Linked DNA regions of Lonchura striata. The protein of the gene in region 1 binds, or shares a complex with, the protein of each later gene. Links are inferred from orthologs where the notes say so. Each region holds a gene or a part of one and is shown in the gene's direction. Other genes may lie near its edges.

Region 1 (7,805 bases):
AAAACATGAAAGCCAAAAGCTGAGGCATCACCCCACTGCTGCTGCAGCTTCCTCCCGAGGTGCCAGCAGTCAGCAGTGCTGAGGTTGAACATCTTCACTGCCAGGTTCCCCTGCACGCCACCGAGTCATGACGTGCAGCTGCTTCCAAGAGAAGGAGGGGAAAAAATGAGGCCAAGAGAGGTGAGGCAATTTCCCAACATCCCTGGGAGTCGGTGTTGGGAGCACGGAGCTGATCTGCTCCCTCTGCTCTCCAGCCCTCCGCGCCACAGCCAAGGGGCTCTCAAAGGTGCTCCAGCTGAGTGGATCCTTCTGCCACCTAAATCAGCTCTGAGAGGAGAAACCACAGCAAAATAACAGCTCTGGATCTGAATACTCTTGATTTTTCTGCCTCTCCATGCAGCTGTGTAGAGTTTTTTTGCTTTTCTCCTCTTTCCACCTTCCTTTTCCGTCCAGGATGGTGAAACACGAGCAGCAACATTAGAACTGTCGTCTTTTCAACAGCCCAAGCCCATCTGGAGGTGACCCCAGGACCAGAAATCCCAGGAATCATGGCTATTTTTGGTAGGCAACATAGCAAATTGCTGGAGGGGCGGAGGGTGTTGTAATTTCTCAGCTCCTGTTCGTAATTGCAATTCTCACCTTCAGGTGAGAGACTCAGAGGTGAGAAATCCTCAACCTGACAGCAGCCAGGAGCTCCAGGGCAGCAGAAAACAGAGCGGTGATGGGTCCCAGTGTCCTTCAGCCCCTTCCACTCTTTTGGGGTGGGTGTCCACCCCAAAATTAATTTTCCATCACCACCAGGAGGGATTTAATGGTTGGACATCGCTGCCGCCTGCTCAAGGGTCTCCACCACCTCATTATACCAAATGTTCTCATCAAGAATCTTCTCAATAAAGACAACTTGCCCACACTTGGGAGAAAAGATTATTTTGGGGGGCCCTGAAGCAAGAGCAAACCCAGCCTGTGGTGTTTTTCCCTCGGGGAAGGTGCAGAAGGAAAAGCAGGGCTTGGGAAGCGCTTTGAGACTCCAGGTGATATTTTTATAACCTCAGAAATCGCCTTGCACAAACACCTTTTTTTTTTTTTTTTTTTTTTTTTTTTTTTTTTTTTAATCCAAAAGGGCAGTGAGAACAGGGTGTATTTCAGCTGCAGATTTGTCATCAGAGGCTCCCAGCAGGGAGGAAAAGTCTCCAGCTCCAAAGGGGCCATCCAGGAAAAGCCAGGGAGTTTTCTGGAACCCCGGGAGCACCCAGAAAATGAGCTGAGCTGCCCTGAGAGATCCCTTCCTGTTTTGTCCTTGTCCCACATGAGTTTTTCTTAGGATGGAAGGAAGCAAAGGGGCATTTCTGCTCCCTCAGCTGAAAAAGAAACGGAGGCTTCTTTCTTCTCTCCACGAATGCTGTGAGTCACAGGGCAAAGGGTTCCAGCTGCATCACAGCAATGAATCAGAGGGACGAGACCTCGAGCTCAGCGTCCCCTCAGGTCTCCAGAGGATGAGAATAACGAAATCAGATCTCCCTGGTGATGTGTCATGGGTGATAATAATGAAATAACCTCCTCTGATTCGCCCTGCAGCTGGATTTTCACCCTGGTGGGGTGGTGGGGTTGAGCATCTTCTCCCCTGAGGCAGCTAAAACGAGGAGCTGCTCTGGGTTAAAAATAAAGCCAAAGAAAAAAAAGGAAAAGAAAAGGAGAGGAGGGTTATTTTTAACTCAGAGCAGCCCTGATCTGGTTCACTGCCCGGGCATGGAGACAGAGCTGTGAAACAAGGGCTGCTTGGCTCAGCTGGGGCCAGGAGGGGATTTGGGGATGGGGAGAAATTCAGGTTTTTTCTGCTGAAAAAGCACCTTCCTGTTGTCACAGACACACAGAAACACCCAGCTCAGCTCCTGCCCCAGGGCTCACCCAAAATATCCAGCAAGGACAGAGGCAGATTCTCCCCAGAAGCCTTGAGCAAGTGCAAAGTCTCTTTATTCTCTTTAAATCTCACTTGGTATTTTTGGTTCAACTCAGACTCTTTCAAACCAGGTCCTGGAGGCTGCTGTGTCCCAAACAGGTCACAAAGGCAGGGGACAGGGACATCTGTGATCCCAGTGGGAGCTGTCCATGCCTGGGCAGCAATCTGTCCCCTGGAGCATCCTCCTCTCCCTGAAACCCCCCATGTCAGCCAGCCCAGCTTCCACAGTGCAGGAAAACAGGATTAATTTGAATTTTCAGCGTGTCCTTGCCATCACTTTCTTAGCCCATCAGTGCTGCTGCTGCTGAGTGACCGTCTGGGGAGATTTAATGCAATTTAGGGGCTTTCTTAAGCAAAATAATAATATGAATTTAAACCTGCTCTGCATGGGGGTGGTGCCTCCCTGGAAGAAGCACAGGGATGATCTTCCCTCCTGCCCAGACTCCCTCCTGGCACTTCTCAGCCCTGTTGCTGCCATTTCTTTTGCGTGTGACCCAATTATTTTAGGAAAAGAAGCTTTTGGGCTCACGCCCATCTGCCTGTCTGCCTTCTCTGTGTAATGCTGGGTGATTCCAACAGAGGATGGAGGACTTTGAGGTACTTATCTCCTATGAGCATCGAGGGGAAATCTAGAAATAAGCAGTTTTGGTGGCTTCCTGCTCTGTTTCAAAACTTCTCGTTAACAAAGGAAGTATTTAGTATTTAGCCTGGGACAGCACACGACCTCGATTTATCTCAAAGTTAACCCAAAACAGAAAGGAGATAAGCCTGAATTTTTTTGTGCACAGTTGTTTCTACACCCACCTCTTGAGCTTTGGGACCATGTGCATTATTCTATTTCCACGTGGAGTTAAGATCCTGCTGTGCTGACCTGTTCCCTCTGTGCTGTGTAATAAACGAATTAATACTAGTTTAAATTAGGAAAATTATTTGCTGAGGTAAAAAAAATTTAAAGGAATTTTCCCTCTGTGGGGGAAACTGAGGTACAGAGAAGCTGGAGCTCAGAGAGGATCGTGGGCTGCTTTGGGAATGGGGAATGGTGCAGGAAAAAGGGAATGGTGCAGGGGAAAGGGAATGGTGCAGGGAAAAGGGAATAGTGCAGGGAAAGGGGAAATGGTGCAGGGAAAAGGGAATGGTGAAGGGAAAGGGGAATGATGCAGGGAAAAGGGAATGGTGCAGGGAAGAGGGAATGGTGAAGGGAAAGGGGAATGGTGCAGGGAAAAGGGGGAATGGTGCAGGGAAAAGGGGGAATGGTGCAGGGAAAAGGGAATGGTGCAGGGAAAGGGGGAATGGTGAAGGGAAAGGGGAAATGGTGCAGGGAAAAGGGGAATGGTGCAGGAAAAAGGGAAATGGTACAGGGAAAAGGGAATGGTGCAGGGAAAAGGGAATGATGTAGGGAAAGGGGGAATGGTGTAGGGAAAGGGGGAATGGTGCAAGAAAATGGGAAATGGTACAGGAAAAAGGGAACGGTGCAGAGAAAGGGGGAATGGTACAGGGAAAAGGGAATGGTGCAGGGAAAGGGGGAATAGTGCAGGGAAAGGGGGAATAGTGCAGGGAAAAGGGGTCCAGGAAAGAGGGGGAATGGTGCAGGGAAAAGGGAATGGTGCAGGGAAAAGGGGGAATGGTGCAGGGAAAAAGGCAATGGTGCAGGAAAAAGGGAATGGTGCAGGGAAAGGGGAATGGTGCAGGGAAAAGGGGAATGGTGCAGGGAAAAGGGGAATGGTGCAGGGAAAAGGGAATGGTGCAGGAAAATGGGGAATGGTGCAGGGAAAGGGGGAATGGTGCAGGGAAATGGAAATGATGTAGGGAAAGGGGGAATGGTGCAGGGAAAAGGGGTCCAGGAAAAAGGGGGAATGGTTCAGGGAAAATGGGGAATGGTGCAGGGAAAGGGGGAATGGTGCAGGAAAAAGGAAATGGTGAAGAGAAAGGGGGAATGATTAGAAGTGCAGGGAACAGGTAAGGAATGGTAAAGGGAAGCGGGAACAGAGCAGGGAAAGGGGGAACTATGAAGGGAAGGGGGAACAGTGCAGGGAAGAGGGAAGGAATGGTGTAGAGAAGGTGAAGGAACGCTGCAGGGAAAGGGGAACGGGGAACGGGAAAAGAACCGTGAAGGGAAGCGGGAACGGCGCGGGAGGAGAACGGCGCACGGAAAGGGGAGGGCACAGTGCAGGGAAAGGGGAGCTGAGCGGGAAGGGCAGGCTCGGTCCCCACGAGCCCCGTCCCACCCTGTTATCATCCCGTTATCCCGTCATCCCGTTATCCCATCACCCCGTTACCTCGTTATCCCGTTATCCCATCACCCCGTTATCCCGTTATCCCATCACCCCGTTATCCCATCACCCCGTTATCCCGTTATCCCATCACCCCGTTATCCCGTTATCCCGTTATCCCATCACCCCGTTATCCCATCACCCCGTTATCCCGGTATCCCGTTATCCCATCACCCCGTTATCCCGTTATCCCGTTATCCCATCACCCCGTTATCCCGTTATCCCATCCCATTCCCGGGGGATCCCGGCCCCGCGCTGCGGAGTGGGCGTGGCCAACCCAGGCCCCGCCCCCTCCTGATACCGTCACTCCCACCATGACCACGCCCACTCCCAGGCCACGCCCCCATCCCCACAGAGCCTCGCTCCCGCCGTGGCCACGCCCATTGCGCCTCTACGCCACGCCCCCTCGCGCCGGCCCTGCGGCGCCCCGCCGTGGCCACGCCCCCCCGGCGCAGGCCACGCCCCCCGCTCGCGCCCGGCCTGCCCGTGGCGCCGCGCGCGGGGCGGGCACTGACGTGGCCGCAGCGCGCCGCCATCTTGTGCTCCAGGGCGGATCGCGGCCAGCGGGCTCCGAGCGGGACCCTCCGAGCGCTGCCAGACCCACGGCCCGCGCCTCCCGACCGCGCCGGTGCGTTTGCCGACACCTTCTTCTTCCCTCCTTTCCAGCCTTTTCGTTTCCTTCCCCCCCCCGCCCCCTCTCCGGCTCGCCGCGCCGCGCCCCCGCCCCGCATCCCGCGGCCTTGGCGCTGAGGCAGCGGGGCCGGGCGGTGCTTTCCTGCTCGTTCCTTCCCATTGCTTTTAATTCCTTCTCTCACGCCACCTTATCCCTACTCATTCCTTTTCTCCCACAGACCCAGAGCTCCCCGGGAGCGGCGCTGCTCCACCCGTCCGCCCTTTCCACGTCTTTGTGGGGGGGTCGGGCCTTTGGCTTCCCCGCTCGTGGGTGGGATGGGGAGGGAGAGGCAGGGCTGGCCGAGGGGAATCGCCGCAGCTCGGCAGCAGCTGCACAAGGCCCCGCTCCGCTCCCTCTAGCGATGGCATTAGACGGGATGGGTTTGTCCTCCCTTCCCCAAACTCGCTCATTCCGGCCTCTGCCCCGCCCGCGGACGGCTCCGAGCAAGGAGAGGCATTTCCTCCTCCTCCTCCTCCTCTCCCCCCCAAAACCCTCGTGGGGTGCGGGAATGAGGTTGGGATGGAGCTCGCAGGGCAGAGGTTGTTTCTCCCTAAGCCCTTGGCTGCTGAGTTGGTGTTTTTTCTTGCTGGGCAGAGCTTTATCGTGGAGCAAACAATTCTTTTTTGCCGCCTATCGCCTTGGGTTTGGTGGTGTGGGAGATCAGCTTTCCTTGGCGGAGCAGCTCCCGGTGGGAGGATATTATATTCTGTCTGAAAATACTCCGTGGTGCGAGGCGAACGTGATACTTCGGGGCTGATAAAGCTCGGTGTGATGAAGTGATAGCCCGGCTCTGCCCCAGCACAGCGAGACCGAGACTCTGCCGGGCCATAAAACTGCCCCAAATGTTGTCGTGTTTGACATTGACCTTGTTTGTGGCTTTGCTGCTCTGCTCCTGCCAAAGCAAATTCCACAGGTTGATTAGAGTCGCGACTAGAGGTCTGGTGTTGAAATTGTAGCTTTGTCAATAACTAAAATTCCAAGTATTTATGTAATACTTTGAGCTTTGTCTTGCGAGGCTCGCAGCACCCCTTTGCAGGGTATTCCATTGACCTTATTTTCCAGGCAGAGAAACCGAGGCAAAGTGGATTTTTCCAAGGTCATTCAGCAGTCTTTATTGCTATTTTTGCTGCTGATTTGGAGCGCTTCTAGGGGGGAAAAAAAAGGGAAGTGTGGCTGAAGTGGAGGATTGCTATTTTGCTTTTATTCATGGGGTTTGTAATGGAATTAAATAGGAGCACAGCCTTATGGATAAAGGAGTTCTCCGAAAGGAAAGTTTTTGGGGGTGGTTTGATGCCACTGATTTTTCTCTGCTACAAACATATCCGCAGTGCTGGAGGCCCTGTTGGGCTGCTCTCCCTGTTGGAATAATTGCATTGGGTGAAAGGGTGAGGAAACTCACCTCGATTGAACCTCTGCAGCTCCAACCCCGCAGCTTTGCCAAGTTTGTTGGTGCTTCCTGTGATGGAGCATCAGGAATTGAAATGGCTCAAGCAGAGCCGCCCTCCCCTCAGAACGGCTTTGTGTTTGTCATGTAAATCCTGTTTAAAGTCGAACCCCTCGGTGTAAATGGTCCGAGGAGCTCGGATGGGTCTCTCGGAGCATTTCCTCGGTTGTGAAATAGCTGGAATGTGGAAGGGCCTGGCAGGAGCTGTGCACCGAGTTCCCTGTGAGTGTTAGTCATGCTGACCAAGTGGGGGGAGGACCAGGCGCAGCTTTTCGAGGCAAACCAAGCGTGTGTGGGAGTCGGGGCTGGATTCTGCTCCTGGGAATTCACCAAACTCTGCTGTGCTCCGGCTGCTTCGAGCAGGAACGTTTCTACAGATAATTATCAGCTAAGCAAGCCTTTGGTGACATGAATTGGTGCAAGGAGGAAAAGCTCAAAACCCAGGATTCCAGCTGAAATGGCAGTGGTGATGTTTAAAGAACCACCTTTACACATCCCAGAGGGTTTTATTTCTAAAACAACCTCTTATTTTTAAAGATGGGCTTTCAAGCAAGAATTCTTAGGGATTTCAACAGCCTTCGCAAACATCCAGCTTGCTTTACAGTGGATAAATTTGGTGAATATGAGCTAACTTTATCTGAAAAGGAATAGTTCTGATTCTGTTTTTAGAAATCTCTTGGAAGTTCTGCTCCTGGAATGCTACAGGGCTTGTGTTAGAGCCGACGCTGTCCTCAGCCATTCCCTTTCTTTAGCTGATGAGTAAAGAAGTTCAGAATCAGCTTCCTACTACAGCAGCTGTTTTTTCTGTGTAATTCAGCATTTTTTTCTTTCTGCTTGCGAGTATCCGATTTTATTCCTTATTTTTAACGCATGCAGACGTCGGAGGGGCTGTGGTGGAGCTTCTGCTGATGTTTCAGTTCTGATAAAACCCTCGTGTCTCACACAGCTCTTATTCGCCCACTGCTCCTCTATCTCACAACTCAGGGGTTCTGCCTTGACATTTCCCCTAAACCAAATGCCAGTTTCATTGCTGGATGGTGTTCTCGTGTGAGTTCTTGCCATTTCTACTAGAAGTGTAAATGTTGACTTAGTGCCCAGTTCCCAGGAATGAATAACAGGATATTTGGCTTAAAATTGAAGATTTTGAGCTCAGGAACAATTCAGCCTCAAAAACAAAAAACACCCCAAATGTACACCGCTTATCTGAAGATAAATTCTTTGTAGCCCTCAGTTCTCACACCACTGTACCCAGTGCTGAACTGGTGAGCAGAAAGCCACAGGCCATTCTTGGGGTTCACAACTGCATTATTTGCACCACAATATTTCCTGAGCAGGGAGGGCATGGATGCAGCTCCCTCTGTGCTTTTCACCTGTCAGCCTGTCCTTTTTTCATACCAGATACTTGTTTTTATTTTTCTTTTATTAATGGGGTTTATAATGGAATAAAATAGGAACACAGTC
Region 2 (7,653 bases), on another chromosome or scaffold:
ACCCCTGGCCTCGCCCCGGCTCAGAGGGACCAGCACAGTACCCTGCAGAGTCAGAGGGCCCGGCACCCCAAAAACTTGCGGGGGGCCGGGCCAGTGATCCTGGAACCCTCCTCGAAACTCACTGCGGGGCAGAGGGGAGTCGGGCAGCGCAGGCACTGGGGCTCTGGTGGCAGGGATGGGGTCACCCTGAAGGGTGCTGGGGGTACGGGAGGTCCCCGCACACTGCTGGGGTTGGGGGACACTAACGCCCTCCCCGAGCACAGTATATGGGGCTGGGTATCCCAACACCCTCCAGGAGCACGGTAGAGGTGGGAGGGGTCCCTGCACCTCCCGGGGTCGGGCACTCTAACACGACACAGAGAGCGGGGGGGGGGTCCCCGCATCCCTCGGGCCTCCCTCGCTCCCTTTGCTCCACCCCCATCCCGGAGCGCGGCAGCCCGGGCTGCCCCGGGGAGGCTGTCCGGCGGCCGCAGCCCGGCACTCACCGCGGAACCACTCCTCGGCCTGCAGGGTGCTGCGGGCCGCCGTGCCCTCCAGCTGTGCGCGCAGGTCGCGGAGCGCGGCGGTGACGCCGGGGCGCAGCGAGGCGGGCGGCTCGGCGGGCAGCTCGGGGCGCGCCCCGCGCAGCAGCGCTCCCACCTCGGCGCGGTGCTGCCGCCGCAGCTGCTCCGCCTCCTCCCGCAGCGCCCGGGCTCGCTCCTCCAGCGGCGCCCGCGCCCGCTCCTCCTGCGCCGAGCGCTGCGCCAGCCCGCGGGCCGCCGCCTCCAGCTCCGAGCGCTGCCGAGCCTCGTCCTCCAGCCTCCCCCGCAGCGCCGCCACGTCCTCGGCCAGGCGCGCCCGCTCCAGCCGCAGCTGGCCCTTCTCGGCGCCCAGGCGCAGCACGGTGCCCCGCATGTCCCGCAGCTCCCGCGCGTACAGCTCGCCCATGGCCGAGCGCCCCGCCTGCTGCTGCCGCAGCGCCGCCGCCTCGGCCGCCAGCGCCCGGTTCTGCTGCTCCAGCGCCCGCACCCGCTCGATGTAGCCGGCGAAGCGGTCGTTCAGCACCTGCAGCAGCTCCTTCTCGTTGCGCGCCCGCGGTTCGCCGTTCAGCGAGTCCAGGCTCTCGGTGGAGGACGCGGCCGCGCTGCCGCCGCCGCCCCCCGCGCCCCGCGCCCGTCCCACCGCCGGGGCCGGCCACGAGTAGAAGCCGCTGGAGGCGGCGGAGCGCGGGGCAGCGCGGCCCGGCTCCTTGCGGAGCCCCCCCGGGGGGCCCAGCAGCGTCTCCAGCATCAGGCTCATGGCGACCCCCGCCCTCGCTGCGGCACCGGCGCGGCCGCCCGCTTTTATAGCGCTCGGGGCGGCCGCTCCGCCCCGCCACCGGCAGCGGGGGTGGGCACCGGCACCGGCACCGGCACCGCCCCGCGCCGCCGCCGCAGCCCCGCGGTGCGGGGGGACCCGGCTGCCACGCCCAGGTGGGGAGCGGGAGCCGCAGCAGAAAGGAGCGGATTGTCCCCCGGCGGGAGAACGGGGACACCGGGCACAGCGGGATCCCGGGAGCAGGAAACACCACCGGGAAGGGAGCGGAGAGTGCCCCCGGGCAGACAGCGTGACCCCCGGGAATAGAGAGTGGGAGCCCTGGGAAGGGAGGAGGGAGCTGCTCAAGAGAGAACACATCCCCCGGGCAGGGAGCAGGAGCACTGGGAATAAAGAATGGGAGCCCCGGGAAAGGAGCAGGGACACCCCAGGACAGAGTGAAGACCTCGTGGGAAGAGGAGTGCCCTGAAGAGAGAAGGGACCCTCCGAGCAGAGAGCGGGATAAGAGGAATGGAGGGTGGGACCCTGGAGGACAGGGCCAGGACCCCCTGGAGAGGGAGTGGGGACCTCCTGGTGTGACCGTGAACCCCCCGGGCAGAGAGAGGAACACCTGGGAATAGAGTGGGGTCCCCACGAATAGAGAACGGCACCCTGGGGAGGGAGCTGGGACCACCCAGTACAGAGCAGGAACCCACCCCGGTGTGAAGGGGAAAGGGGGGACCCCCGGGTGGCGCAGACAGCTCCTCCACGGGTGGGGCAGCGACCCTGGGGTGTGGCCGTCACTTGGTGTCCCCCCGGGGTCAGGCACTGACTGGGGCTGGGGGAGGTGGGCTCCTGCTGGCTGGGGGGGCTGCCGGGAGGGTCCCCTGAGGGGACAGGGGACACCCTGCGGGATGCAGGGAGGGATGGGAGGCTCATGGCTGCCATCCCGGCCGGGATGGGGATGGGGAAGGGGATGGAGACAGGGATGGGGTGGGGGGGATGTGACCCCCAAAACCTGCCCTTGGGACCGGGCCATGCACGGGCCACCCAACCAATCAGCACTCGGGTATCATTCAACCAATCAGCACTCGGGTACCACCCAGCCAATCAGCACTCGGGTGCCATCCAGCCAATCAGCACTTGGGTACCATCCAGCCAATCAGCACTCGGGTATCATTCAACCAATCAGCACTTGGGTACCATCCAGCCAATCAGCACTCACAGACACCTCGGCCAGTCAGCCCATATGGGCCAGTGGCCAATCAGCAGTCACAGGCCACCCAGCCAATCAGCATAGCTGCTGCCCAGCCAATCAGCACACACAGACATCAAGATGTAGGCAGGTACTGACAGCTCAGCCAATCAGCAGCCAGGCTTAGAGAGCCAGCCAATCAACACATAAGTCCCTAGATCCTAGCCAATCAGCAACCAGGTCCATAGACATCACCCCAGCCAATCAGCAGGCAGGAGCACAGATCCCAGTGAATCAGCACACGGGTCCTTAGATCCCAGCCAATCAGCACACAGGAGCACAGATTCCCAGCCAATCAGCATGCAAGTCCATATATCCCAGCCAATCAGCATGCAGGAGCACAGATCCCAGCCAATCAGCACACGGGTCCATAGATCCCAGCCAATCAGCCTGCAGGAGCACAGATCCCAGTGAATCAGCACAGGGGTCCCTAGATCCCAGCCAATCAGCACACGGGTCCATAGATCCCAGCCAATCAGCATGCAGGAGCACAGATCCCAGCCAATCAGCACACGCTCCCTGGCTCCCGGAGCAGCCCTGCTGTCCCGGGTGGGAGCAGGTCCCACGCCGTCCCTCATCCCACGGAAGCCATGGAGGCAGGGCCGGGAGCAGCCAGGAGGAGCGGGCTCGGCCGGGCCGCTGGGGACACATCCCCGGGAGGCGCTGGGGACACGGGACAGCCGGCCCTGGGCGCCCCCGAGCCCGCCCTGCTCCCGCGGGCACTGCCGCTGGCCGGCCACGGGGACTGCCCCAGAGGGCCCTTCCTGCCCTGGGGACACCCGGCGGAGCAGGGGGACACAGCCTGTGGAGGGTGTCACCCTGTCCCCCACACCCCGTGTGACCCCGTTCCAAGCCCTGTATCCAAGCCCTTTTCCCCGTGTCCATCCCAATCCCTGTCCCCCGTATGTCTCTGCTCCATCCCGTGTTCCCACCCCATGTCTCCATCCTGTCTCTAACCCTGTCCCTATCCTGTGTCCCCATCCATGTCCTCATCCCATGACCCCATCCTCTGTCCCAATTCCTGTCCCCATCCCATGTCCCTGTCCCATATCCTCATGCCATGTCCCTGTCCCTTATCCCCATCCCATGTCTCCATCCCCTATCCCCCATTCCCATCCCATGTACCCGTCCCATGTCCTCATCCCATATCCCTATCCCTACTGCCTGTCCCTGTTCCCTGTCCCCCTCCCCTATTCCCTTTCCCCGTCCCTACTCCCTGTTCCCCTCCCCTGTCCCCATCCCTGTCCCCGTTCCCTGTTCCCCATCCCTGTTCCTGTTCCCCGTCCCCATTCCCTGTTCCCGATTGCTGTCCCCATCCCTGTTCCCCATCCCTGTCCCTGTCCCCATCCCTGTCCCATTCCCTGTCCCCATCCCTGTTCCCCATCCCTGTCCCTGTCCCTGTCCCCATCCCTGTCCCATTCCCTGTCCCATTCCCTTTTCCCATCCCTGTTCCGTTCCCTGTCCCCATTCCCTGATCCCGATTGCTGTCCCCATCCCGGTTCCCATTCCCTGTCCCCATCCCTGTCCCCGTCCCTGTCCCCGTCCTGTCCCCATCCCTGTCCCCATTCCCTGTCCCCATCCCTGTCCCCGTTCCCTGTCCCCATTCCCTGTTCCCATCCCTGTCCCCATCCCTGTCCCCATCCCTGTCCCCATTCCCTCTTCCCATCCCTGTCCCCATCCCTGTCCCCATCCCTGTCCCCATCCCTGTCCCCGTTCCGTGTCCCCATTCTCTGTCCCATCCCGGTTCCCATTCCCTGTTCCCATCTCTGTTCCCATTCCCTGTTCCCATCCCGGTTCCCATTCCCCGTCCCCATCCCTGTCCCCATTCCCTGTCCCCATCCCTGTTCCCCATCCCTGTCCCCATCCCTGTTCCCATCCCGGTTCCCATTCCCTGTCCCCATTCCCTGTCCCATCCCTGTCCCCATCCCTGTCCCATCCCTGTCCCCATCCCTGTTCCCATCCCGGTTCCCATTCCCCGTCCCCATCCCTGTCCCATCCCTGTCCCCATCCCTGTCCCATCCCTGTCCCCATCCCGGTTCCCATCCCGGTTCCCATTCCCGCCCCGCCCTCCCGCCGTGGCCCCGCCCCGCCCCGGAAGCGCTCCCCGCTCCTCAGTTCCGGCGGCGGCGGCGGGTACGGAGCGGCCGGAGCAGGTACGGACCGCGCCGGGCCGGGCAGAGCGGGTACGGGCCGGGTACGGGCCGGGCCGGGCCGGGCAGAGCGGGTACGGGCCGGGGCAGAGCCGGGCCCCGCAGCCGCTCCTGCCCCGGGCTCCTCCCCGGAGCTCTGCCCGTGCGGCCCCGGGACGGGCTCCCCGCGGGGCCCGGGCCCCTCCCGACCCCCGACCTGAGCTGTGCCCCCCGGTGCCCCTCCGGGACCGGCGGTGTCCCGCTGTGACCCCGCTGTGAGCCCCGGCTCGGCCTCCGCCTCGCCCCGGGCCGTGTCTGCGTCCTGACCCCGCGTCCTGAACTCTGTCCGCAATGTCCCCTCCCCACTCCGGGCTGTGTCCCCATGGTCCCCTCCCCAGTCTGGGCTGTGTCCCCTTGGTCCCCTCCCCACTCCGGGCTGTGTCCCCTTGGTCCCCTCCCCAGCCCGGGCTGTGTCCCCTTGGTCCCCTCCCCAGTCTGGGCTGTGTCCCCATGGTCCCCTCCCCACTCCGGGCTGTGTCCCCATGGTCCCCTCATCACTCCAGGCTGTGTCCCCATGGTCCCCTCCCCAGTCTGGGCTGTGTCCCCATGGTCCCCTCCCCAGTCTGGGCTGTGTCCCCTTGGTCCCTGGTCCCCTCCCCAGTCTGGGCTGTGTCCCCATGGTCCCCTCCCCAGTCTGGGCTGTGTCCCCTTGGTCCCTGGCCCGGCTGGGGCACACGGGGGTCCCCCGTGCCCGCTGCCTGCCCCGGGCTGTGTCCCGTGTCCCGCCTGTCCCCGCAGCAGCTCCATGTCCCAGCGCTGCTCTCCGGCCCGTCCTGCACGGACCACCCCGGGCACCATGTCCTGGCCACTTGCTGGGGACAGGACCCCTGAACGGGCTGGGGGACACGGGGTGAGCCCTTCACCCCCTCAGGATGTGGCACACCTGTAGAGAAAGGTCTTGGCTCTGCCTGGAATATGCTGGGAACTGGGCGTGGAGCAGACGGGGAGGCAGCTGGGCTGATATCCTGTGCTCGCTGCCTCCTCCATGGAGATTTTGGGGGGAAAAGCCCCAAAGTGGATTAAAAGGAGCTGTGAGACAGCTCCAGCCTGAAGGAGCCGTGTTGGAGGTGTTGCTGTTGTTGTTGCAGGTGTTTTGTGTGGAGTTTTGGCACCTGTCAGGGGTCCCTTCCCCAGCAACACTGGGACTCAGGAGGGGTTTTGTGTCTTCTCTCTCCTGGGGTGACAGAAAATGGGCTAAGCCTTGGATGAGCAGTTGGACTGATGTGGTTTGTGGCTCCCACACCCATTTGTGGGGTCAGACTGCCAGGCTGAACAGGCTTTGGCACCCCAAGGGGCTTTCCAGAGGTGTTGGGCCTTGCTTGGATCAAGCCAGGCTGGGAATTCCAAGGCAGGAGGTGCCCACCCTGCAGAACCTTCCTTTCCCAGGAGGAGAACATCCCCTCCGCCACGGGAACCTGATGCTGTGGCCAGGACAAAGTCCTTGGTGTCCCTGAGGATGCTCAGCTGGAGTTTGGGGAGCCCCTGTGGGTGCCATCCCTGTTCAAGGTGATTAAAAACGCCCCCAGCTCTCAGAGCACGGTGCTTTGGGCTCTGTGGCTGTGGGATCCTGGCAGTGTGTGCTGCAGGGGACACCTCAGCATTGTCCTTTTTGCTTTTTCCTTGAGTTTATTCCCCAGTTATTAGTTGATGGGATGTATTGCTTGCTGGTGCCACTGCTTTGGATCTGCCAAGGATTTTTTGGGTTTGCTTTGGGCACCATGCTGATGGCATGGTGAGTTTGGCTCCTACCCCTGAGTTATCTGAGTTATCCCTTGCTTGGTGGGGATGGAGCCTTTTGGAATGCCCATGGGTTGGTCAGAAACAAGATTGGTGAGAGGATGGGGATGGTCCTGCTGGGATGCAGCAGAGTCACAGCCCTGAGCTGCTGCAAGGCCGAGCTGGAGCAAAGACTGGCTCCAGTTAGGCCAGAGAGGGGGAAAAGATCTCACTGGGAAGGTGTGTGGGGCTGCTGGGAGGGTTTGTGGTGGTCTGGCAGAGGTGGGATGAGCCCAGGGCTGGGAGCTGTGGGATATGGGATGAGCACACAGGGATGGGAGCTGTGGGATATGGGATGAGCACACAGGGATGGGAGCTGTGGGATTTGCACAGGGGTGGGAGCTGTGGGATTTGCAGAGGGATGGGAGCTGTGGGATGTGCACAGGGGTGGGAGCTGTGGGATGTGGGATTTGCACAGGGGTGGGAGCTGTGGGATTTGCACAGGGATGGGAGCTGTGGGATTTGCACAGGGGTGGGAGCTGTGGGATTTGCACAGGGATAGGATGTTTCCCATCCTACAGGCACAGGAGGTGTGGCTGTAGGATGGGAAGCACTGCTGTAAGGAGGGACAGAACTGGGGTCAGCAGGAGGCTCTGGAGCTGTTGGGTTGTGTATCCTCAGCCTCTGGCTCTCTTCTGGCACCCTGGGGTGTTTCTCTCCCTTGCTGGTGCTTGTGCCAGCTCCTGGGGTCTGTCCATGGGGCAGGGATGTGCTCAGAGCTGTGTTGGTGTGCTTGTTTTATTTTTATTTTTCATTCATGATCGCGATGGGACTGCTGGGGTACATTTAATGAGTTTTATTTGTAGTATTAGCTTTATTATGTGGTTGAGACAATAGGAAGATGGTAAAGCTTATATACAGCTAGTAGCAGCTGATGATTTCTTTGTTGCTGAATATTTAAAAAACTTCTGGCTAATAGCATATTGCTAAAGTTTATAGATAATTATTCTAGCTAATTACTGAAAGTACACGTATACTTGTTTCACACAGTGTTTGCTTGTCTTCTTTCTATTGATAACACACAGTACATTATTATTAAGTCTAAAACCTTTTACTATCTTGCTAAGCATATTTTCTTGTAGTCTGAAGGTTTATCTTAGCCAAACTTAAGACTTAGGTTATTGTTTCATGCCCTTGCTTTCTGTACTATTATAACTTCTC
Region 3 (7,454 bases), on another chromosome or scaffold:
CTATTTTGCAGAGAGCTGAAGGTGGTGATTTCATTAAGATACTCATTCCCCAATTCTCTGTGCAGAAGACTTTTCCAAACCTATTGGAGCTAAAAACTTGATTTCAACAGCTGCCAGAGGTGTTCTTGGAGTCTTAAATTGATCTAGTTTTGTCTTGGCATATTCTGTTCAACCAGTCATGGAGAGATTGTACATAGATTGCCATTTGTGAAATTCTTGGAGGAGACTCCAGCTCTAATTTTCAAACTTGATGCATCCACTAGCTCATTGGCACAACTACTTTCTTTCTCCATCTGTTAAAATGGCCCTATGCCCACCAATATGGTTATATGCCAGTTTTGGTAGGGTATACAGCCCAGCAAAGATGAATGGTTTGGATGAACTGATGAGTGTACAAGATAAAATCTGAACCCTCTGGTCAGTACAAGGATAGGAACTAAATGCAGTGTACAAATGGAGGCGTACTATTGCAGAATACTTCTCCAGCTGAAAACTCTCAGATCTGATGGGAAGTACCACACAGTGAATATTTTCTTATTGCTATGCACTTGGCAAATATGAGGATGCAAGCAATGAACTGTTGATTTGCTGTAGCTCTCTGTAATGTTGTTACTATATTTTTGTGGCTTTTTTATTTGCTCAGAAAGGCAAGTTTTACAGTTTTGAGGCCGTCAGTGTGGTTTCTGCCTATTTACTGCATTGTCATATATTTGCCGTAGTCATTTGCTTTGATCTGCATCCTGAATGGTATTAAATAGCCATATCTACAGCTGTTACAAGGCTGAAATTCCACATGTTTTTAGTTCTGCATTTTTTGAAGGCTGTTCTTGTTTCTGCCATCCCCTGATATTTTGGTACTTGGAGGAAACAAGAACGGTTCTCGCAATCTGCCAGAAGATGAGCAGCATTGTAATGCTGTTAAACAGTGTTGCTGAAACTTGGACATATATGTAAATATTCAAGCACTGAGTAGGTTCTGACAACACAACTTCTGTGATGGTATCTTTCAAAGAAGCCTTTTCTCAACATTTTTGGGAAAGCTGGTGTGATGCTGCTTCTCACCTTCTTATAATCCCTTCACAACTATCAAAGTGGTCTACAAATGTCTGCAAATTCTGAGCACTAGCCTCGAGAAAGGCTCTAAGTTGGCACAACCATTTAAGTGGCGGCACCACTTCTGATGACCCTCTTTCAGCCTTCAGAAAATTGTCTTCCACTGAGGAAGATTCCACTCTGGCAGAAGTTTCCCTTCTGTATTGGTGGTGTTGGTACTATCAGAAATGGTTATATGCAGTGCAATTGCAAGACTGAATATTTTCATCCTGTCAGACAACATTTCTTGTTGCTGGGTGAAGTAGAATCTTTAACTACTTTACTGACAACAGATAATCTTAGCTCGAATCACAGTCTGATCCAGAAGGGATTTCAAACTACTTTGTCCTACTAGCTGCCATCTGGTTAGAGCTTTTGAAATATAGGTAATTTCAATATCTGCATTGATGATGGTGATAGCAGCAATTTAACAGGTGTTGATGTGCTGAGTTGCTCAAGTGTTGCTCAGGTAGTATCTGTTCATGACAGAGAAATGGGAGATGCTTTATTTAGTTTTTAACTTTACACTTTCCTGTTTCCTCAATGAGAGGGAAAGAGTGCAACTGAACATCCGGACTGCAAGTGCTTTGAGAAATTAGAGGCAAAGTAACAATCAAATGAGTTAAATTCTACTTCTGGTCACTATTTCTGGTTTTGTTCTCTGTGGCTCTCATCCTTACAGGATACTACAGTTATCCTGGTTTTCCTCACATCTCTAGTCTATTCTTTAATACTATTTAGTTTGCTTTTTGCATAATGTGCTTCATTTTCAGATTGAAAAATTAGAGATGGCTGAAAAAGAAATAAATTCTTATCTCAATTTCTCTTTAAACCATAGAACAGCTACACTTACAGCCATATGATTCAAGGCTTCCTTGAAGTAGTAGTTGAATTCTGTGTTGTGAATTAGAAATAAATATAGTGTTATATTGAAAAAGGATGGTAGTACTGAACAGCACCACAAGATGTCATTCAAACAGTTTATGGCATAGACCAAAACGCAGTGAAACTCAGATTTCTTAATTTCCTGCTAGACGAAAACCCTAAATCAACAAAATTAACTCAAATTGCAGCATGTATTTGCTGCCAGTTAAGCGTCTGTGTTTTATGGGTCTGAAATCAATTTGCAGTTCCTCTTTAAATGTTAAATTCAAACTTGTTTAGCGTTTACACAGTAGCATGACCTAGAATAAACCAATTTATTTTAAGCAATTTGCAGTGCCAGTAAAATGCAATGAAAAAAACCAAATTTTTTTCAGGAAACATGGGACGTTCCCTAGGAGTTTGTTGCTACTCAGGTGCCAGAAGCAAAGGTTACACTGCTTTGTAAATGTGTGTTTTCTGCTTTAAACTCATGCACAATATTTTAAATTTTATCTTGAAAGCCAAAAAAAAAAAAAAAAAATATGCTGTGGTTAAAAGTATTTCTTCTTGAATGCAAGAACAGTGCAATTGATACTGTGTAACTGAAATTAGGCAGTGGATGGAAAACTTGAAACAAGAAATGCATTGTTAAAACTCAAATGAGTGAGACTTCTGAAACTTCTGTTCTATAAGGGCTTTATTCCATAACACTGAAACTGATGAAGGTTGCTTCCTCCCAGTGGTGAATTTGTTTACCATTCCTGTACCTTACCTTACAGTGCTGTCCTTATATGTGAAGATCTTCTGTTTAGAATTCACTCTCCTTTCCTTGAGAGGATTACAGCTGTTCCCGAGGTTATTGTTGCATTGCTAGTTGAGCTTCAGTTGCAGTTTTGATACTCATTAATCTTTGGCTTAATTACAGTGAAGACTTATGATTAGTGGGTGACTTCTTCCAGTAACTGGCATGTTAGAACTGTGGCAAAACTTGAAAATCTGTGGATTTAATCTTACAGTGTTGCTAAAACTGAGAAAATAAATGTGTATTTTAGCAGAGTGGAGCAAATGTTTTCTTAATAATAGTTGTTTAGAACATGTTGATGCAGTACCTAATGACGTGCCACAGATTCTGGATTAATATTTTAGTATAACTGGAAGTTTGTCATAGTTCCTATGGAGAGATGAAATAACTGAGACAGAGGTCCAGATTTATTGCATAGCTGTTTAAACTTCAGTGATCTATAGTTAGTCTTAACCTCAGCAAGACGTGAGTTTTAGTGACTAAGTGTGTGCTGACAGTAGTATGGCATATTCAGAATTTTTCTTTGGATGCTGTTTGCCTTAATCAGCATGCAGAGTTAGGTGAAGAGTCCGTGTTTCTAATTTATACTATTTTAGCTTTCAAATTGTAATACTTAGGAATACAAGCCTGTGGTGCTAAAGATTACAAAGGCAGCTGGGAACTGATTTTTTAATACATTAATAATTGACTTGTTGACTATATCCTTATGGTAGATACCATAAAAGTACTAAAGATCATATTTCATAGCACATGCTTAATATGTCGTATGAGTATATTTCTAATTGTTGTCTATCACAGTGCTTTCATCTTGCAACTTTTGAGAATGGTGGGCCTATCTTGAAGTAGAGTTAAGACACTAGATTATGGCTTGGGAACTCAAGTGAAGTTTTGGTGAGTTCTTAGACTACATCATTGGGCAGACAGGTGGGAATCTTCTTGTTTTTCTGGGTTTTTTTTTTGCTCTTGGAGAGTCACTTTACCTCTTCTTACTTTTAGGGAAAATGGCTGAGACTATATATCTATACTCTGCCAAAAGTTTGGTATTTTTTCATCTGCTGTTGTTGGGACCATTACTTTTCTGCTTCATATAGTTCCACATAATTTGTCAACTATCAGATTAGGCTTATTTAAACCTGGTGTTGCTCCTGAAGTAATAAAGTTTATATTTCAGTCATCTACAATATGTACCTAACTCTGTAAGGGTAGAGTCTCTCAAAATTTTACCAGAGAGGCAAAGGTATTGATGCAGCTGAAGGTTGCTTGCATTTTTCTGAGCCCCTGGCAAGTGGAAGGAAGTGATAAAGTATTTGCCTAGCATTGTGTATTGAAGAACTGCCACCTCAGCATAACTAATGAATATAGAAATATGAACTCTAGTGTGACTGCAAAGCTTACATTTACATTTATTTCTACTTAGAGGGATTTTATTAAAATATTGAAATTTCTTAAAAAGTAATGATCAAAAGATGAAAATACTTGTACTGTACAGTAAACTGTATTACAAAAGACTGAAATGCATTTGCTTTTCCCATTGTTCATGGAGGCTCTGATAAGAGTTGTTTTTGGAAGGAAATGACCTTTGAAATCTGCATATGGTATTTGTTTCTGGAAGTTCAAACAGCAAGGGAGTGTGCATCCTGTTACTTTGTAAGATTTTCTTTTTTTTTAGAGTAGACCTCACTCTTGGCAGGCAACCTTGGTTGAGTTCAGTAATTTTTTTAATTGGTTTTTTACATACTTCACTTAAAAGAATGGAACAAAACTCCACAATGCTGGGCAAAATAATTGAGGTGTCTTGCAGTATTAAGTCTGCTCTTAAAGGGAAAAACTTTGATGTTACACTGAAACCATATCTAACTGTAGAAGAAAAAAGGCTTGCTGCTGCTGGTGATCCATGTGAATGTATGAAGCAATATTTTACTTTGTAAGTATCTAATATTTGCTAATGATGGATTATAATTTGCTAGAAAAGATTTTTTAAAACCTAAACAAATAATCTCTTCAAGTAAGATTTGATTTCCAAGTGGATTCATCAGGAACTTTTTGTTTAATTCGTATTTTTCTTTCTTTATTTTTTCCCCTGCTGCTTTGCTTTTATGGAAACAAGGCTGGCTGAAAACAGGTCTTCATATATAAATTTCTGTGTTTTTTGTCTTTCCAGCTAACAGTTCAAAATGTTTTCATTTGAAATGTATGATAGAATATTTTCTATAAGCATTTAGAAGTAGAGCTCATCAATAAACACTTCTGTCTTCACATCTTAAAATAGCCTTTTTATTTTTTGTTGTTGTTTATTACATTCTGGGAGACGGTTTTCAGCATGTACTTGGATCTTGTTCTGTGTAACTTCCTCCATTTTTTGTTACTTGATCCTCAAGCCCAAATTCTAATTTCTACATTTTCCGCTTTGTTGACAAATTCTTCTTTTTTTGTTTGTTTGGCTGCTAATTAGTATTCTACCTTCCACTAGTTAATGAAACTCTCGCTTCTCATGATAACTGGTCCACATGCTCAGCCTTTCTCTTATCCTCGGTCAGTGATTTTTTAAGTCGGTGGGCTGTGGACACAGTCTCCCCCTGCCTTTTACCCAATTGGACTTGATTCCACATTGTTGCTGAGTTGTTTTTATTAGTTTCCTCTTTGTCTTGATGGTCCTGCAAAACGTCCTTGTGGCCCATCAAATTTGCATTCTTGGTCTACCCTCAGGGGTACATCCTTCTTCAGAAGCTTTGCTAACCTCACCTGGGGTCTGACATAGTTGAAATATGTCAAGCCCTAAACCTTAACAAGGCAGTTCTACAGGCAAGTCATTTGTTTTTCTAACACACAGAGTTCACTGCGAACTTGTTGGTTAGCTGCTATCCATTTCATAGATTGAATCTCATTTGTTGTTGATCAGGCTTGAAAGTATACAAAGTTGAAACATCAAAGAACATTCTTTCTTAAGAAAATTTTTACGTATTTCACATTTTGCAGCAACAGTAGGAAACTGGAAGCAAGAGCATCGGTCTAAAAGCAACTTTCTAAATCAAGTCCTATCTTTTGCTATGTAACTTTTCTTACCATGTCATACAGATTCTTGCACAGGGAAGAATTATGACTTAAGCAGAAGGGATTAGAGGTTTCTAGTTTCTGTATCCAGCTAGAGCAAAGTGTCAGGCAAAGTACTACAAGCTGATCAAAAAGAACTGAGACTTACTCAGTATCCTATGAGGAATAGGTGAGTAGGAATGGTCAGCAAAATCAGCTGTTCCTGTGGCCAAGAGTGATGGGAATAGAGAGCTGCCAAAAATTAAATCAAACCTATGCTTCCTAAAATGTTAATTTAAAATGGAACTATACAGAGGGATTGAAAGTTAAAATGCTGAAATTATTAATGTTATTTTATGTACAGCCCCCAGACCAACAAATACTTTATTTCTGATATAAAAAATAAGGATATAGATCTGAGGGCAAAATATGGAGTGACTAAAACATGTGTGATGATATAGACATGAATACAAGCATCTTCAAGTCAAATCAGAAAAATGTAGAGTTTAATGTAATGAAAGGTGTGACTTTACCCAGGAACAGGAATGTGGACAATAGGAAAACATGTGTGAAATTACAGCATTAGTTACTTTTAACAGACCTGTCAATCTTGGGTGGTGTTACAAGAAGGTACACTGTACATTATGACTGGCCATGAGGAAGGTATCCAGCTGGAGACTTACTGAACTGATCTTAGCAGTATGCAAAACTGCAGGACGAAACTGAATGGGACATACAATTTAAATGATCAAAGTACACAACCAAACAAATGTAGCAATAGAAGACTGACCTTATACATCTTTGAATGTGTCCAGGAGTAGCTAAAGATAGTAAAAACCTTTGAGTGTGGTGCAGACACAAGTGGGAGTTACCAGTGATATTTGAGAAGTGGTACTAAAGCAGGCAAGGAAATGGAATACTTCCTTTTTTCTTCCTTTTTCCTTTTTTTAAAATAATAATTATTAAGTGAAGCAAATATTGACAGTATAAAGAATCTGTAATAGGTTGCTCCGATTGTTTCATGAAATGCTTGATTTTGAAAAAAGAGTTAGACTTAAATTTTAAGTTGCATGTAGATATGAATTTTATGTGCCTTAGGTTAGTAGGAAATGTGGTGATTGCTATGTTGGGTTTTTTTACATTTAGTTGCAGTTCTTATGTGGATGTAGACTGAAATGTGGGCAATGTGGATTTCTTGTGGGGAGGCACAAAGCAGATGCAGTACTGGTTCTGAAAACATGAGGAAATTTTTGTTAGAGTCACTCTGTTGCAAGTAGGAAAAATACTATTTACAAGTTTATGACTGAATGAATGACGGTATTTTTTTCTTGTAACTGATTCCAGCTTTGGCTTACATCCTTTTCTTCTTCCCATATGAAATTATGAGGGCAGTGATAAATCAGAATATATCCAGGTTCTGCATTCACTTTTGAAGTCTTGTCTGGATATATTTGGTCTGGCTGAGATGGAATTATTTTCCCTCACAGCAGTCTTCATCATGCTGTGCTTTGAATTGGTAGTGAGAAAGATGTTGCTAACAGTGTTGTAGCTATTGCTGAGCAGGGCTCACACAGGAGTCAAGACTGTCTCTCCAATATCCCCCTTTCCTAGCAGCCTGGGGTTGGGCAAAACCTTGAAGGATGTGTAGCCAGGACTTGTGGCCCAG

Evidence for each region.
Region 2: the proteins of ARF1 (region 1) and AP1B1 are in contact, whole or in part, in a cryo-EM structure (PDB 7R4H), measured with the Homo sapiens proteins. The link is inferred for Lonchura striata from reciprocal best matches to the Homo sapiens genes ARF1 and AP1B1. Residues at the interface, in NP_001019397.1 of Homo sapiens: Glu17, Met18, Tyr35, Ile46, Thr48, Ile49, Gly50, Phe51, Asn52, Val53, Glu54, Thr64, Trp66, Lys73, Leu77, Arg79, His80, Tyr81, Gln83, Asn84; in NP_001118.3 of Homo sapiens: Asn23, Asp25, Pro52, Asp53, Val55, Asn56, Met58, Gln59, Met83, Ile85, Met86, Ala87, Val88, Asn89, Thr90, Val92, Lys93, Tyr121.
Region 3: the proteins of ARF1 (region 1) and AP3B1 are in contact, whole or in part, in a cryo-EM structure (PDB 9C5B), measured with the Homo sapiens proteins. The link is inferred for Lonchura striata from reciprocal best matches to the Homo sapiens genes ARF1 and AP3B1. Residues at the interface, in NP_001019397.1 of Homo sapiens: Glu17, Arg19, Tyr35, Ile46, Pro47, Thr48, Ile49, Gly50, Phe51, Asn52, Val53, Glu54, Lys73, Ile74, Leu77, His80, Tyr81, Asn84; in NP_003655.3 of Homo sapiens: Glu52, Asn54, Pro81, Val84, Lys85, Val87, Ala88, Asp111, Leu112, Leu114, Leu115, Ile117, Ser118, Thr119, Gln121, Arg122.

What each region holds. Positions count from the first base shown.
Region 1 is NC_134603.1:154,872,779-154,880,583, reverse strand, and holds the start of ARF1 (ADP-ribosylation factor 1), read left to right. Parts: upstream 1-4,722; 5' UTR 4,723-4,855; intron 4,856-7,805. UniProt on the Homo sapiens protein: Small GTPase involved in protein trafficking between different compartments. Modulates vesicle budding and uncoating within the Golgi complex. In its GTP-bound form, triggers the recruitment of coatomer proteins to the Golgi membrane.
Region 2 is NC_134620.1:2,977,172-2,984,824, forward strand, and holds the start of AP1B1 (AP-1 complex subunit beta-1), read left to right. Parts: upstream 1-4,618; 5' UTR 4,619-4,680; intron 4,681-7,653. Other genes in the region: NEFH (neurofilament heavy polypeptide), read right to left, coding at 486-1,278. UniProt on the Homo sapiens protein: Subunit of clathrin-associated adaptor protein complex 1 that plays a role in protein sorting in the late-Golgi/trans-Golgi network (TGN) and/or endosomes.
Region 3 is NC_134642.1:12,762,838-12,770,291, forward strand, and holds the start of AP3B1 (AP-3 complex subunit beta-1), read left to right. Parts: upstream 1-4,436; 5' UTR 4,437-4,509; coding exon 4,510-4,682; intron 4,683-7,454. UniProt on the Homo sapiens protein: Subunit of non-clathrin- and clathrin-associated adaptor protein complex 3 (AP-3) that plays a role in protein sorting in the late-Golgi/trans-Golgi network (TGN) and/or endosomes.